Elephas maximus indicus: one gene and its partner. The protein of the gene in region 2 purifies or fractionates together with the protein of the main gene of each other region. This does not show direct contact. Links are inferred from orthologs where the notes say so. Each region holds a gene or a part of one and is shown on either strand. Other genes may lie near its edges.

Evidence for each region.
Region 1: the proteins of SH3PXD2A (region 2) and FGD1 purify together in Homo sapiens (affinity purification with mass spectrometry; 3 studies listed by BioGRID and IntAct, with this or other methods). This does not show direct contact. The link is inferred for Elephas maximus indicus from reciprocal best matches to the Homo sapiens genes SH3PXD2A and FGD1.

Annotation. Positions count from the first base shown.
Region 1 is NC_064846.1:113,505,669-113,512,845, reverse strand, and holds the start of FGD1 (FYVE, RhoGEF and PH domain-containing protein 1), read right to left. Parts: upstream 3,004-7,177; 5' UTR 2,253-3,003; coding exon 1,946-2,252; intron 1-1,945. UniProt on the Homo sapiens protein: Activates CDC42, a member of the Ras-like family of Rho- and Rac proteins, by exchanging bound GDP for free GTP. Plays a role in regulating the actin cytoskeleton and cell shape.
Region 2 is NC_064834.1:55,274,679-55,282,064, reverse strand, and holds the start of SH3PXD2A (SH3 and PX domain-containing protein 2A), read left to right. Parts: upstream 1-4,384; 5' UTR 4,385-4,394; coding exon 4,395-4,466; intron 4,467-7,386. UniProt on the Homo sapiens protein: Adapter protein involved in invadopodia and podosome formation, extracellular matrix degradation and invasiveness of some cancer cells. Binds matrix metalloproteinases (ADAMs), NADPH oxidases (NOXs) and phosphoinositides.

The DNA.
Region 1 (7,177 bases), on a different chromosome or scaffold from region 2:
TATCCATTCAGACATTTGTTCAACAAGGATTTATTGAGCACCTACTGTGTGCCTAGTCACTATGCTAGCTGCCCTTCTCTTAAACAATAGTTACTGAGGGTCTACTGTAGTCTCTCTTGGTATCTGTTCAGACATTCGTTCAACAAGGATTTTTGAGCGCCTAGTCCCTGTGCTAGTCACTAGGGATACAACCGTGAACAAAACATACAATCCCCTTGCCCTCAGGGATCTCACATTCTAGTGGGAAAAAGACAGACAATAAACAAGTAAATACATACAATAAAATAACTTCAGACTGCACTAGGTGCAAGGATGGAAACATGCTGGCAGCTGCAATGAAGACTCACAAGTGGCCCTACTTAAAGTAGTCAGGGAAGGTCTCTTGGAGGAGGTGACATATGAACTGAAATCTGAAAGATGAGGAGCAAGCCAGGTGGAGAGCTGGGGGAAGAGCTGCCAGGCAGAGGGAAAAGCAAATGCAAAGGCCCTGAGGTGTGAGCACTTGTGGCATATGTTTTGGCATTTGAAAGAAGGTGCTGCAGTAAAGTAAGTAAGTAGCACACTCCACACAATCAGTGTCTGTCAAGGGAAGTTTGGAAAGCCTGCAAGAGCAACATGCAGGGCAGGGCATTAAACGCCTGTTGTTAGCTGGGTATCTCCAGCCCACACAAAGGGAGCCCCCTGAAAACTCCTGGAGTTTTCATGACTAGCCCAGGGCCACAGCAGCAGCAAGGGGCACATCTTGTCCATGATTTATGCTTCATTCCTGTTATCTGGTGCTGGGCCACAGTTCCAAAGACCTGTGGAGCCTGGGTTCTGACCCTGAGAGGCTCACAGAGGCTTAGCCTGGGTTTGCCCAGTGGAAAGCAGAGTACATATGCGCTCAGCCCGCATGACAATGTTCCCACACTGGGGAAGCCCTTCTGGACTCCTCAGATACTCAGGTCTGTGTAGCACAAACTCCTCCCCCAGCAGTGGTCTGTGGCCCCAACCTGACCTAGAGCTACTCCACCTCTGCAAACCCAAGTTCAAGCAACCTGATTTCTGCTCACAAACAATCTCATGGCCCACACAGTTCTCCAGCTCTACTATACCTGGCCTCTGCCCCCTTGACCTGGTATTTCTGTTGTCTTCCTACCCACCAGCCCCCCCATCCCTCCCCTCCAGCTTGACCCCCAAGGCCCACCTCTTCCACCTTTCTCTCCTCAACACCTTCAACTCCCTCCTTTCCTTGTTCTCCCACCACACAAACCTGGCAAAACCCCAACCTTGGATCAATCCACCAATCCCACCCTTTTTTTCCCACTCACTCTCCAGGGCTGCTGAATACTACAAGAGAAAATCGCATGAGCAGAAGAACTGGCATTACTTTCATGGTCTTCAACTTCAGTTCGGGAAAGGGGAAAGACCACAGACTTTGGACTCAAACAGATCTTGGCTCCATACTAGCTGTGTGACCTTGGACAAGTTACTTAACCTCTCTGAGCCTCACTTTCCTCATCTGCAAAATAGGGCTAATACTTACTTCACGGGGGGCTCAAAGATTAAATGAGAACACACATAAAGCACCCAGCCCAGTGCCTGGCACAATGTAGGTGCTTGGCAAATGGGAGGCTCCTTTTCCCTTGTTCCCAGAACCAAACCGCTCCTTGCAATACTGCCCCTTGTTCTTGGTGTGCTCCTTCTCCTATTATCCCCAGCAGACAGAAAAGAAGGGGGCTGGGGGGCGCTGAGGGGCAAGGGGTCAGAGAGAGGAAAAAGGGATAGAGGTTGAAAGGATGGAACTTAAGGCCAAGGGGCAAGGGGAGGGGGAGGAGGTTGAGGGAACTGAAGGGCCGGGGTGAGCCGGCTGGCTCTTAGGTGAGACTTAGAGGCCCCCTAACCAAGAACTCGCTCCCAGAACCAGACCGGTGGCCCGGGCTCCCACGCTCTCTGGATCACTCACCAGGCCGGGGCTGCAAGCCCTCCAGGTGGTAGGAGAAGCGAAGGGCCCGGTGGTGCTGAGGGCTGGGCCTGCAGGGCAAGACCCTGGGGCCTGGAGCAGCTCCCGAGCTGGCGTCAGAGGGCCCGGCAAGCTGGGAATCCAGGGGGCCGCAGAGAGCCGAGGCTGAGCCCCTGGGCACCGGCAGTCCGGGCTCCGAGACTCCAAGGTACGAGTCGGCACAGGCCGGCAGAGCAGCGACGGGGGGGTTAGCGGCCGGGTGTTCAGGTTCTGAAGGCCCAGCGCCCCCCGGGGCTCGGTGGCCATGCATGGTCCGGGCCTGGGCGCGGGGCCCGGGCTCCCCGCTTGGCTCCAGCTCCTGGGGCGGAGGCGCGGGCGGAGGAGGCCCGGCGCCGGGCAGAGCAGCGGCCTCAGGCTCGGGGGGCGGGGCTGTGGGCTCAACCCCACTGCGGAGACTCAAGCCCCCGGCCCGGGTCCGGGCCAGCAGCGGTGGCAGTGATGGCAGTAGCAGCAGCAGCCGCGGCCACTGCCGCCGCCGTGCCAGGCATCGCCGGCCCGGGCCTAGCGCGGGAGTGAGCTCCGGCCGGGGGCCCGCTGGGGAACGCAGTCTATGCGGCAGCGGCTAGGAGAGGGTCGGGAGACTGCGATCGGCGCGGGCTCTCCTTGGGTGGCAAGCCACTTCCGTGGCCCTGGGGCGAGCGGTCGGTTGGATCTGAGTGTGGGTCTCTTCTTTCTCCCCGAACGGGAATCGATCTGGACTCTCCTGGCTGGTCGGAAAGGGTTCTTCCTCCCGCCGCAGCGGGAGCCAGGGGGCGGAGGGGAAGGGAGGGAAGAGGGGCTGGCTGTGGCCGGGGGCGCGCTTGTGCGCCGCGCGCTGCGGGGCTCGCCCTCAGCCAGCACCCCTGGAAGATGTTCCAGCCACAGAGGCAGGAGAACCACCTGGGCCCAACTCCACCGCCCTCCTTAGCCTCAGCCTGGGTCTCCGCGGCAGCGGGCGGGAAGGACCCAGAGAAAGGGGGTGGGGAGGAGGGAGCTGTCTTTGAGACAGCCGGAGCCACAGCGGCGCTGGGACCCAGTTACCCGGGCTCCGCCCCCTCGCCCGGGATTTGCGCTAGGCCACGCCTCCTCACTCGGGCCCGCCTTACTTCTCGCGGGGACCCCACCCTCAAGGCCCTCCTTCTGCCTCCCAAAAATTCCCTTTTAGCTTGTCTTTTCTATTCTGCCCCGATCCCTCACACAGGATTCCGGGCTCAACTTTCCCCCGCCCCCGAGTCTGCCCTTCTATCCCATCTCAGGTCTTCCTTCCTCTGCTCTCTCTTCAATCTCTTTTCCAGAAGCCATTCCACATGTACCAGAGCTTCCCTAGGGCTTGGCTCATAGAGGACCTGTCTTTGATAACTCCTCACTCTGCTTAGACCAGACCCCGTGGTCCTTTACTTCACCGCTGTCTTGCCAATAAATAGCCTCAGTTCCCTGGTTTGTCGCATCCACCTGGCAACATTCCAACCTTGGATCAGTCCAGCTCTCCACCTTTTCCGTGCCTTCCTCCAAGCAGCTAAACACTGCTGGAGAAAACTATTCAATGCACAGATTGCTGCCACTGTAAACTCACGGTCCCCAGCTTCTTCCAGGCCCTCCCTGCTAACCTACGACCGTACTGGTGTCCCTAGTCAACTCCCTCCCCCGTTCTCCACAGTGGCCATTTTAAACTTGCTCCCCTCTTCTCAAAGGTGTACTTCTCTGACTCCTAACCCTCAGCAAATGACCCCGCCTCCTACTTCATAGAGTAAACAGAAGCCACCAAAAAAGGGCACTCTTAACTTCTTGCCACCAAATCTACAGAGCTCGTCCCTTGCTCCTTCCTATCAGCATCTAAACGTGCTCAGGTCTCTTTCATGTAAAAACAAATATGTTGTTGTTGTTGTTGTTAGGTGCCGTGGAGTCGATTCCGACTCATAGCGACCCTATGCACAACAGAACGAAACACTGCCGATCCTGCGCCATCCTTACAATCGTTGTTATGCTTGAGCTCATTGTTGCAGCCACTGTGTCAATCCACCTTGTTGAGGGTCTTCCTCTTTTCCGCTGACCCTGTACTCTGCCAAGCATGATGTCCTTCTCCAGGGACTGATCCTTCCTGACAACATGTCCAAAGTATGTAAGAGGCAGTCTCGCCATCCTTGCCTCTAAGGAGCATTCTGGCCGCACTTCTCCCAAGACAGATTTGTTCGTTCTTTTGGCAGTCCATGGTATGTTCAATATTCTTCGCCAACACCACAATTCAAAGGCATCAACTCTTCTTCGGTCTTCCTTATTCATTGTCCAGCTTTCACATGCATATGATGTGACTGAAAATACCATGGCTTGGGTCAGATGCACCTCAGTCCTCAAGGTGACATCTTTGCTCTTCAACGCTTTGAAGAGGTCCTTTGCAGCAGATTGACCCACTGCAATGCGTCTTTTGATTTCTTGACTGCTGCTTCCATGGCTGTTGATTGTGGATCCAAGTAAAATGAAATCTTTGACAACTTCCATCTATTCTCCGTTTATCATGATGCTGCTCATTGGTCCAGTTGTGAAGATTTTTGTTTTCTTTATGTTGAGGTGTAATCCATACTGAAGGCTGTGGTCTTTGATCTTCATTAGTAAGTGCTTCGAGTCCTCTTCACTTTCAGCAAGCAAGGTTGTGTCATCTGCATAACGCAGGTTGTTAATGAGTCTTCCTCTAATCCCGATGCCTCGTTCTTCTTCATATAGTCCAGCTTCTCGTATTATTTGTTCAGCATACAGATTAAATAGGTATGGTGAAAGAATACAACCCTGACACACACCTTTCCTGACTTTAAACCAATCAGTATCCCCTTGTTCTGTCTGAACAACTGCCTCTTGATCTATGTAAAGGTTCCTCATGAGCACAATTAAGTGTTCTGGAATTCCCATTCTTCGCAGTGTTATCCATAGTTTGTTATGATCCACACAGTCGAATGCCTTTGCAATTACCAAAATTCTCCCACTGCAACCACCTCACTATCTCTCTTCTCCTTCCTACAAACTTCTTGAAACAGCTGCCTGCATTTGCTGTCTTCATTTTCCCATCTCCCACTTATCCTTTAACCCACTCCAATCTGCCTCCACTTCTTGCCTAAAACTACTCTCTCATCAAGGTCCCCCATAGCCTCTGTGTCACTAAACCTAACAAAAGCTTTTCAGTTTTATCAAACTTGACTTCTTGGTATCATTTGGCACTGTTGAGCACTCGCTCCTTCTTCCAAAACAGCCCACCTCCTTGTTTTCCTCCTACTTCTTGGTAATTCCCTTTTACTTTCCAGGCCCCTCTTTGTCTACCACTTAAAATGTTGGTGCTGGTTAGGGATTTGGCTCAAGCTCTCTTGTCTTCTCTCCCTACATTCTTTCCTTGGATTATCTCATTCACTGTCACAGCTTCAATTATCTCTTTGCTGATGACTCCCAAATTAATACCTTAAGTCTAAATATTTCTCCTGACTCATGCATTCAATTGGCTATTTGACAGCTGTACCTGAATATCCCAGAGAAACCTCAAACCTCAGCTTTTCCTCAACTCAACTCATCCTCCTCCTATCTGTCTCTTTGCACCTTACCTTAACGAATGACTCCAGGGAGAACAGAAACCTAAGCTACATTCCTAACTCTTCTCTCCCCTTCACCCCCTCTGCAATCACCAAGTCCTGTCATTTCTACCTCCTGCATATCTTCCAAATCTATTTGTTTAGTCTCTTCTCCATTTCTGCTGCCACTACTCTAGTTTAGGCCTGTACCATTTCTAACCAGCTCTCTATGCTGTAGCCAGTGTGATCTTTTGGAATGGTAAATATAATCACATCACTCCCATATTTAGAACCTTTCAGTGAGTCCCCACTGGCTCAAGAAGAAACCTACCTTCCTTAACAGGGTTGCTGGGCTCTTCATGATCTGGCCCCCTGCCTGCCTTTCCAGACTCTATGCTCAAGCCAAAGCTGAAATTCTTAGGCTGTTCTTCCAAGTATTTACATATTCTTGTTGCCTCTGCCTGAAACCCTGTCCACATCTCCCCAACTCTACTTCATTTGTTCTTCAGCTATCAGCTCATTCAATGAATGTTTTTTTGAGCACACACTATGGGCCAGGAACCATGTGAGGCACTAGTTGTGCAGTAGTGATTAAGACAGATGAGAACAAGACAGTGGTGCACAAACTGCCTTCAGAGTTTATGGTCTGGTGCTAGAGAGGATGCAAAGTAAACAAACACATAATTACAACACATAATTACAAATTGTGATAAGGCAACAAAGGAACAGGGTGATTTTTTAAAAGGGAATAACAGGTCAGAGATAATTTAGCCTGAGGGGTCAGGCAAAGCCTGATATTTGAGCCAGATCTGAACAAGTAGGAGCTAGCGGATGATACCAAACAAAAAACACCAAACCCATTGCCGTCTAGTCGATTCCGACTCATAGTGACCCTATAGGTCAGAGTAGAACTGCCCCATAGGGTTTCCAAAGAGCACCTGGAGGATTCAAACTGACAACCTTTTGGTTAGCAGCCATAGTTCTTAACCACTACGCCACCAGGCTTTCCTAGCGGATGATGAGGGGAGGCAAAAGAGTTCCAAGGAGAGGATACAGCAAACGGGAAGGCCCTGAGGAGAAAGAGAAATGGTATATTTAAGAACAAGAAAGGCAGCGTGGCTGGAGCATGGTGAGCTCAGGGCAAGAGTGGTGCAATGTGAGGTTGAAGAGGTAGGCAGAAGCCGGATTATGTAGGGCTTTATAGGCGATGGAGCCCTGGTGGCACAGTGATTAAGAACTAGGCTGCTAACCAAAAGGTTGGCAATTCAAATCCACCAGCTGCTCCTTGTATACCATATGGGGCAGTTCTACTCTGTCCTATAGGGTCGCTGAGTCAGAATTGACTCGACGGCAATGGGTTTTAAGTTTCATGAAGATTTTGTTTCTGATATATATACTACACATATGTATTATATGTGAATTGAATTATGATGAAATAGTATCTCTTCTGTAGGTTGAAAAAATGCTGAGATGCATTGTATTGACAGGCTTTAAGTTTGGGATTGACAAGGTCTGGTTAACTTTTTTAAAATATTACTTTGGCTGCTGTGGATTGGATTGGAGGTAGACAAGATTAGGGGCCTACTGTAGTCAGAGATGAGGTGAGTTAACTAAAGTGTGAGCAGTGGAGATGGACAGAGGTAGACAG
Region 2 (7,386 bases):
GTGTGGATGGAGAATTGGAACTGAGAGACTCAGAGCTCAGGCGGAGAGCAAAGTCTGGGTGTGCAGGTGTTGGTTAACGCACTAAAAGTGTGCTCTTTGAGTAAACTCTTCTAGCTTGTGAACGGGCACATAAGCCCGGGGGAGAAGGTCTGCTGGTCTGGGACTAAGTAGCTGTATAACACGGCGTAACTAGCTACATTTCTCTGGGCCTCAATTTCCCCTCTGTAAAATTAGAGGAATAAATAACCTCTCTTGTCTCTTCCAGCTGATTTGAAGCAGTCTGCAATTATATTTTGAAAAATAAATTATGGGTCCTCTTGCCTTATTTATCTTTTTATTTATTTATTTGTATTTTTACAGTTTTCTTTTGTCATTTGAACTTATACATTGTACTTTGAGCTTGAAAACGGATTAGAGTCAACTCTGTTTCAGAAGGAGGTGGTAAAATAGGGGTCTACCTAATCCTCTCCTGTGTCGTTATGAACTCCTTTAGGGCAGATGTTTTCAACTCAGGCCAACCAAAACACCTACTATGTGCCGGGCATAGTGGGAGTATACTGCTCAATGAGACACAGTTCCTGTCTCCAAGGATCCTTCAGCCAGTCTCAGTCAGTTTGATGTGTGCTAGGCACAGTGAGGCACGTGCTAAATAAATGTCTGTGGGACAGAAGGGAATTCCTAAGCACCATGGGAAGGAAACCTGCATGAGACTGAAATGGACCCAGGGAAGAAGATAGAGTCAGTACCACGTTATACTCAGAGTCTCTTGGACATATGGCCCCAGTAGAGAAAAATAACTTCTGTTCAACTAATACCTAGAGATCTTGGCACTATGTGGGGCACTCAGGTACTCCCTAAAACTGAGGTAATCTGGGGGTAGGGGAGGAAGCTGGGAGTACTCAAGTTGTGCTTAACAATAGTGGATTTAAGCTATGCCAGTTGTCTGGGGTTTCTTAGGTAGGACAAAGGCCAAAACACACACATTGTGCTACCAGGACAGTGGGGAGCATGGAGCCCTCTTGCCTACAGATTTCTTCTGCTCAAGTTCATGTTCAGTGTGGATCCCGGTCCAGAAAGTGGAGCGTGAGTGGGAAACCTCTGATATCCACCTTAGATGAGCCAATTGCTCTGACTCACAACGGGACCCAAGGTAGGCTATCTGCCTCCTCTTCTTTCCCTCCAACAGCTAACCACCAGCTCCCCTTGCTAAGGCTTTCTCAAGCTTAATTAGTGCTTCCAGAACTTTTGAGATTCACAAATGGATAGCAGCTGATTGCCATTATGAATCATTTTATGAATCATCTATGAACCTATAGGCTACCTCGAAGCATCATGAGATGTCTTGGAGATGGGTCCAAGATAGGTCAGAGCACTCCCTGGTTCCCATAGCCCAGGCCTTCCTTTGCAGAGGGGAGCACATGCTGAGAGCCTGTCCTGGGTCCTCCCACTTTGTGCCAAGAAAGGCCTTGCTCAGGGGGGCAGTGCCTTGTCTCTACCCCTTCTGATCCCTTAGCCCCACTGCCAGGTCACTTTCTCCCATGCACTGGTTTTCCATCCTCTTCCCAGATAGAGAAGTCCTGTGCCTAGTGCTCAAGCCGCCTCACAATCTGGACCCTCTACCCATCCAACTACATTTCATCCTTATGTGTCTGACCCCCTCTCCTGATCTTTCCTCGGGTGGACACTGTCATCCTGGTCCTCTGTCCATCACCAACTTGTTCATGTGTCAGGTCATACATGGGACTTCTTGTCACTCCGCCTTTTCTTCTCCTCCTGACCATACATTCTTTCCTTCACTCAGCAAATTCTTTTAGTGGGACTACAGAATATAAGATACTGTGCTTGGCTATTCGAGGAGTGCAAAGAAGTATAACACACAGCTGTCCCTGTGCACTGTGTGCTTTCAGAGGAAATGATGTGTATTACAGACAGGTGTCAGAGCAGCTCAGGATAAGTGCTGCTGGACTAGAGGAGACCAGGGGAGGCAGAGGTGCTCCAAACTTTGCAGATCCTCCAGGGCACAGCACAGGGACAGCCTTCTCCTTGAAGCCCTCCTTGATTCCTCCAAGCCTCTATTTCTGGAGTCCTAATGCTTTTTTTTTTTTTTTTTTTTAATGCATACGCTGGTGGTGTAGTGGTTAAGTGCTATGGCTGCTAACCAAAATGTCAGTAGTTTGAATCCACCAGGTGGCCCTTGGAAACCCTATGGGGGCAGTTCTACTCTGTCCTATAGGGTCACTATGAGTCGGAATCGACTTAACGGCAATGGGTTTGGTTTGGTTTTGGGAATGCATGTTTCATTACATTCAGTTTTATTGATGTCCCTGTTTCCCAACTGGATTGTCTGCGCCTTAAGGGAAGAGACAAACATCTGTCAACTGGATTCAGTTTTCAGTTAATTGAATGTTTTCTCCTCTGTAATGCCTTGTAAATAAGCACAGAATAGTAGGTGCTCAACCAATTCTTAAAATTCTACTATTTCTGTGTCCATTTACAAGAGCTTCTTAAAATTCTAGACGGCACTGGGTTTTTTTTTTTTTAATGTCAACAAGCATGCATGCTAATTATGAAATACAAAGATTTAACAAATGTATCCCCAGGAGTAAGTACTGCTAAGAGTTTAGAGTGTTTGCAGGAAGGCATCTTAAAAGATCATCTAGATCAGCACCCACATCTTACAAATGAGACCATTAGGGTGACTGTAATACTCCCTGTGGCATTAACTCAAGTGATTGGCAGAGGTCAGATTTTTAGAGAGTTTGCTAGAGGAATAGTGGGGTTCAAAAAAAAATTTTTTTTTTTTTTCTGTACCAAGCAAACGAGTGAATAAAGTCTTAGATTGGTGCCTGAATTCTGACAGGGCAGTGAAGAAAATATTAATACATTTAGGTCAGAAGACTATTCTCCATTTCAGATATTTCACATTGGTCCACATTCACAAAGCTTTATTGTGACTGTGAAACCATTGAATTAGTTGTGAAAACACTACCCCTTTAAATATTTAAAAGTAGAATGGAAAAAAAAATGTTGAAATAGATGAGGGGAAAAGCTAAATTGAATTAAATAGTAACTATGCTCCAAGTCCAGGGAGCTCGAACAAATGGCTTTGAAAGTTGGATTTCAAGACCAGAGGGAAGGGGTGGTTAGAAAGCCAAGGGCTGGAGCAGGGGACAAGCTGGCCCCCAACCCCGTGGATTTTCCTACCATTGTAGGCTCCTTTCCTCCTCACCCTGGGAGGGTCCCTGGGGAGTCCTGGGCTTAAAGCAGTGGTGTTATGCAGTCTTGTAACCTCACTGGCAAATGATGTCACAGGTTAGTTACACACAGGCCCAGATCGAGGGACGACTCAGGCAACGGATCGATCACATTCCCGAGGAGAATTCACCCTTTGTGACCCTCAAGCGTAGGTGTTTTCTCAAGAGAGGCTCTGCCTTGAAGGATTTAACGCTGGCCCTCACCCCATTCCCATCTCCTCCTCAGGAGCCTGGGCCGTAACAGCAAGGTCATAAACCACTTTTCATTAAAGAGATCAGGGCGATAGGGGTAGGAGGGGGGGCAAATGGGCGGGGGGGGGCGCAAAAAGGCACATATCTTCTCCAAGATGGAAAAACTGGAGACGCCGGGAGCCGGGATGGGGGCGCTCTGGGTTGACCTTCCCCCCAACCTTCTTCCCTTCGAAGCCACCCAGGGTTTCGTGTGGCAGAGAACTAGCCCAGTGCTTCCTCCGCGCCAGGCCGCAGGCTGCGCTCTTGGCTCGGATGGGGGCGCGCCGGCCCGCCCCTGCCTCTGGGTCGGGCTGCAGCCCCCTCCCCGTGCCCGAGCCCCTCCCCCGGTCCCGGAGCCCCTCCCTGCGCGCTTCCCCTCTCCCCTCCCTTCCCTCCCCTCCCGGCCCCGGCCCTGCCTCCGCCTCCTGCGCCCTCAGCCTCCGCCAGCGCCGAGCCCCCTGGAGCCCGAGCGCGGCCCAGAGGCGCCGCCGGCCCCTCCCCGCGCGCTGACAGCGGGCTTGGGCCCCCACCCCTTCCCCCGCCGGCGGGACACACCCCCACCCCCTCCTCGGCTCCGCCAGTTCCCGCCGGACCCACGGGGCGGCGGAGAGCGCGGGCGGCCAAGCGGGCGAGCCGGGGAGCGGGCGGCGAGGCGGCGCGGGCGGCAAGGGGCGCGCGGCAGGCCCACTGGGAGCCCCCCGGAGCGCAGCGAGCTCGCGTGCCCTCCAGGACCGCCCCCCCCCCCCGGGGCCGTACCTGCGAGCGCTGGGATCCCGGGCAGCGGCGCGGCGCGGCGCGCCGGGCCGGGGTGGCGGGTGGCCCCGGGGACTTGGGAAACGGAGTAGCTGGAGCCTGGACGGGATGAGAAGGTGACGCCGCCGGGGGGCGCCACTCGCTTTGTGGGGGAAGATGCTCGCCTACTGCGTGCAAGATGCCACGGTGGTGGACGTGGAGAAGCGGAGGAACCCCTCCAAGCACTACGTGAGTTGTGCCCCCACCTCACCCCTGCGGAAGGCTGGGACCTTCAGGAAAGGCCCCGCCGAGTGGCCTCTCGCTCATGCTAAGTACTCGAGCTAAGTGCCCATAGGGCAGCCGCGTCTGTGGATTTTCTTCGCAGGGCTGTGATCTCCAGGGAAGCCTTTTCTGTCCTTCCTCCACTCCCCCTGTTTTCTTTTTTTGGCATTGGAATTGGCAAGTGGCTGCCCTTGTCTGTTACACCGGTGAAGTCATCTGTCCCCCTGAGCTTTGATGAATGAGGACCCTCCCTCCCCCCAACCGGGGGCGCATTCGTCAGAATCTGCCTGAGAACCTCCTTTGGGAAAAGCATCTTCCTCGGCCCTCCCTGGGGCTCGGGTCACTCGGGCTCACGCAGACCGAGATGCTTTTAGAGGCTGGCTCTGGCGAAGCCTCACTCTGCCTCCCACGTTTGCTCCGGTCTCTGCCTTCCTAGGCTCTGTCTGGGGGCAAAAGGAAGTCACTGCACCCCCTACCCCACCTCCACCCTCAGCACTGAGCTTTGATTTCCTCCGCAAAGTCATTGTGTCCGTCGGCGTGAGGAGAACTGTGGCTTTTCCTTTTATCCTTCCTCTGGACGTGACCCTTAACCGGGTTCATTTCCTCTTAGGTGATGCTCCATCTCCAGACAGGAGGGGGCAAATGTTTGCTGTGGTCTCTGAGGAATGGTCGCCGGCCCTCCCGCTGCCTTTCCAAAACTTAATGAGAAGGGGCTAATGTGGACTGGGCCAAGCTCCGGGGTCTGTGACACGTCCCCCTTTCATCTCAGCCGGTCCTGTCTTCCCATCCTTAGAACCTTAGGAAGTAAACACCGTGTCCTTGACGCCTGGGGTCGCCTGTCTGAGCATCTTTGCTCTCTTACTTGAGAAAGAAGCAACAGACACACAGCCGGGTATCAGTCAAAGCACAGAGGGCTTTGGAACAGCAGGGCTGCATCTTATTTGCAAATTAGGCATTTAAAGAGGGAATTTACAACGCTCAAAGCATTAATTTTAACAATTAAAACAGGCTGTTGGCTGCTGCCTTAGATTGCACATTGATCTCTGAAGTGCCTTTTATTCTCTGTTGGAAGGGGAAGGGTTTGTACTAATCTCAGCCTGAGGCTACTCTTTCTACCTTTATCACCAATACCCCTGAAACTTGGGTTTCTTTACAGTTGAGCCAGTGAGGCTGGGTTTAGATTGAGGAGGAGGTAAACCTGGAGGCTGGTCCCACCACCAGTCAGAGAGCTAGGTTCTCAGAGGGTTATGTTCCCCGGCTTGGTCAGGCAGTTCTTCTTTTTGTATTACCTGGTTGGGCAAGCGTCTCCCACTGCCATTCAGGAAAGCTTCTTTTGGAGGGCTTGGGTAACCAGGTGGCCCTGCTCTGGGGACAGATGTCCGTTTCTGCATTGTCGGGCTGATCGAGTCAGTCTTCCTAATCTCTTTTATCAGATGTTGCAGGCTAAGTTTCTCTCTTCTAGTCCTTGGTTAAGGTTGGCCCTACTTTTAACAGATGGCACTCTCTGCACTGAGACCCAGACACCTGCATTTCTGGCTGTGAATTTCAGGTGAAACATCAAATTTGAGCTCTGACCAATGGTGTCTAAGATTACTGATGCAGGACAGGCTGGCAGCAAGCCAGGAGCATTGCCAAGGTGCCCAGGAACTCACTGTAGGCAGTATCGAGAGGTAGTGAAGAGATGGGGTGCTGGAGTTAGCTGGTCTTGTTCAAAGCTCCTCTGCCACTTGGAAGCTCCGTGAGCTTGGGCAAGTTGTTTAACTTTCCTGGGCCTCTGTTTCCTCATGTTTAAAGCGAGGATTATAATACCTACTTCACAGGGCTGTCAGGAGAATTAAATGGGAATATCTCTATGCATCACATAGCCCAGTTCCTGGCACATAGTAAACACTCATTAAATAGTAACTTATTGTTTCTAATTGTGACTAAGTAAATACTTTTCAAAAGCAGCTATTGATGGTCTGGCAAAAAGGAAGAAAGATTTTGGCTTTTAAGATTGATAATAACTTGTTTTATGTGAAAAATACAAAGGAAGATCTATCCAGTTCCCTTAAAATGTTCATTTCCTCCCTTTTTATGGACACAGAGCTTCCTGGGACATCTCCACTTCCCATGTAGGAATCAATGACATTATGTTTGGGCAGGGAGTGATGTCACTGAACAATTGGGGCCATCCAGAGCTCTGAACTATGGCTCTGGAAAACAATTAAGGGAGAAAGTGTTATAAGCAGTCGAATCCTGGAGCTTGCGGGGACCCAAAGACTCTCTGACTCAACCCTCTCATTTTCAGATGAGAAAACTGAGAACCAAATTGGGTAAAGTCTTGCAACACAGTCAGTCATAGGTCTGACTGGCCTTTTCCCCAGGGTGTGAGTTTTGCTCATCAAATGTACCCTAAGACTGGCAGGGCTTGACTAGGAAGACAAGTATCTGGTGGTATCAAGGTATACACTGGGGTCATTAATGTATAACATAAGGAGAGGGTGCTAAATAATAGTGTTCAGCAATGCCGACAGAGGCAGGAGGAGCAGGTTGGGGGAGACTGTGGTCTCTGAGGCTAAGGCTCACCTCCTCTCCTGGCGCTTTCACAGTGGACACCACACACCAGAAGACCAAGTGTTCTGGGTAAGGCACTCTGCTCTGGTTAGCTGGCAGAACATGCTGGACCCAAGTCACATATGTTCTGGAAGTCCTCTACACTTGAGAATCATGCCTCCTTCCTGCCTCTCCTCCACTGATGGCAAGTTCCGAGTCTGTGGTTTGGTAAATTGCAGGGCAGAGAGGCTCTATGGGATGTGCGTGTTAGCCGGAGCAAGCTGATGGGAGGCCTACGGCCCAAGCAGGAGGGCCTCTGCTGGCTCCAGAACTCTGGGAACACACTGCAAAG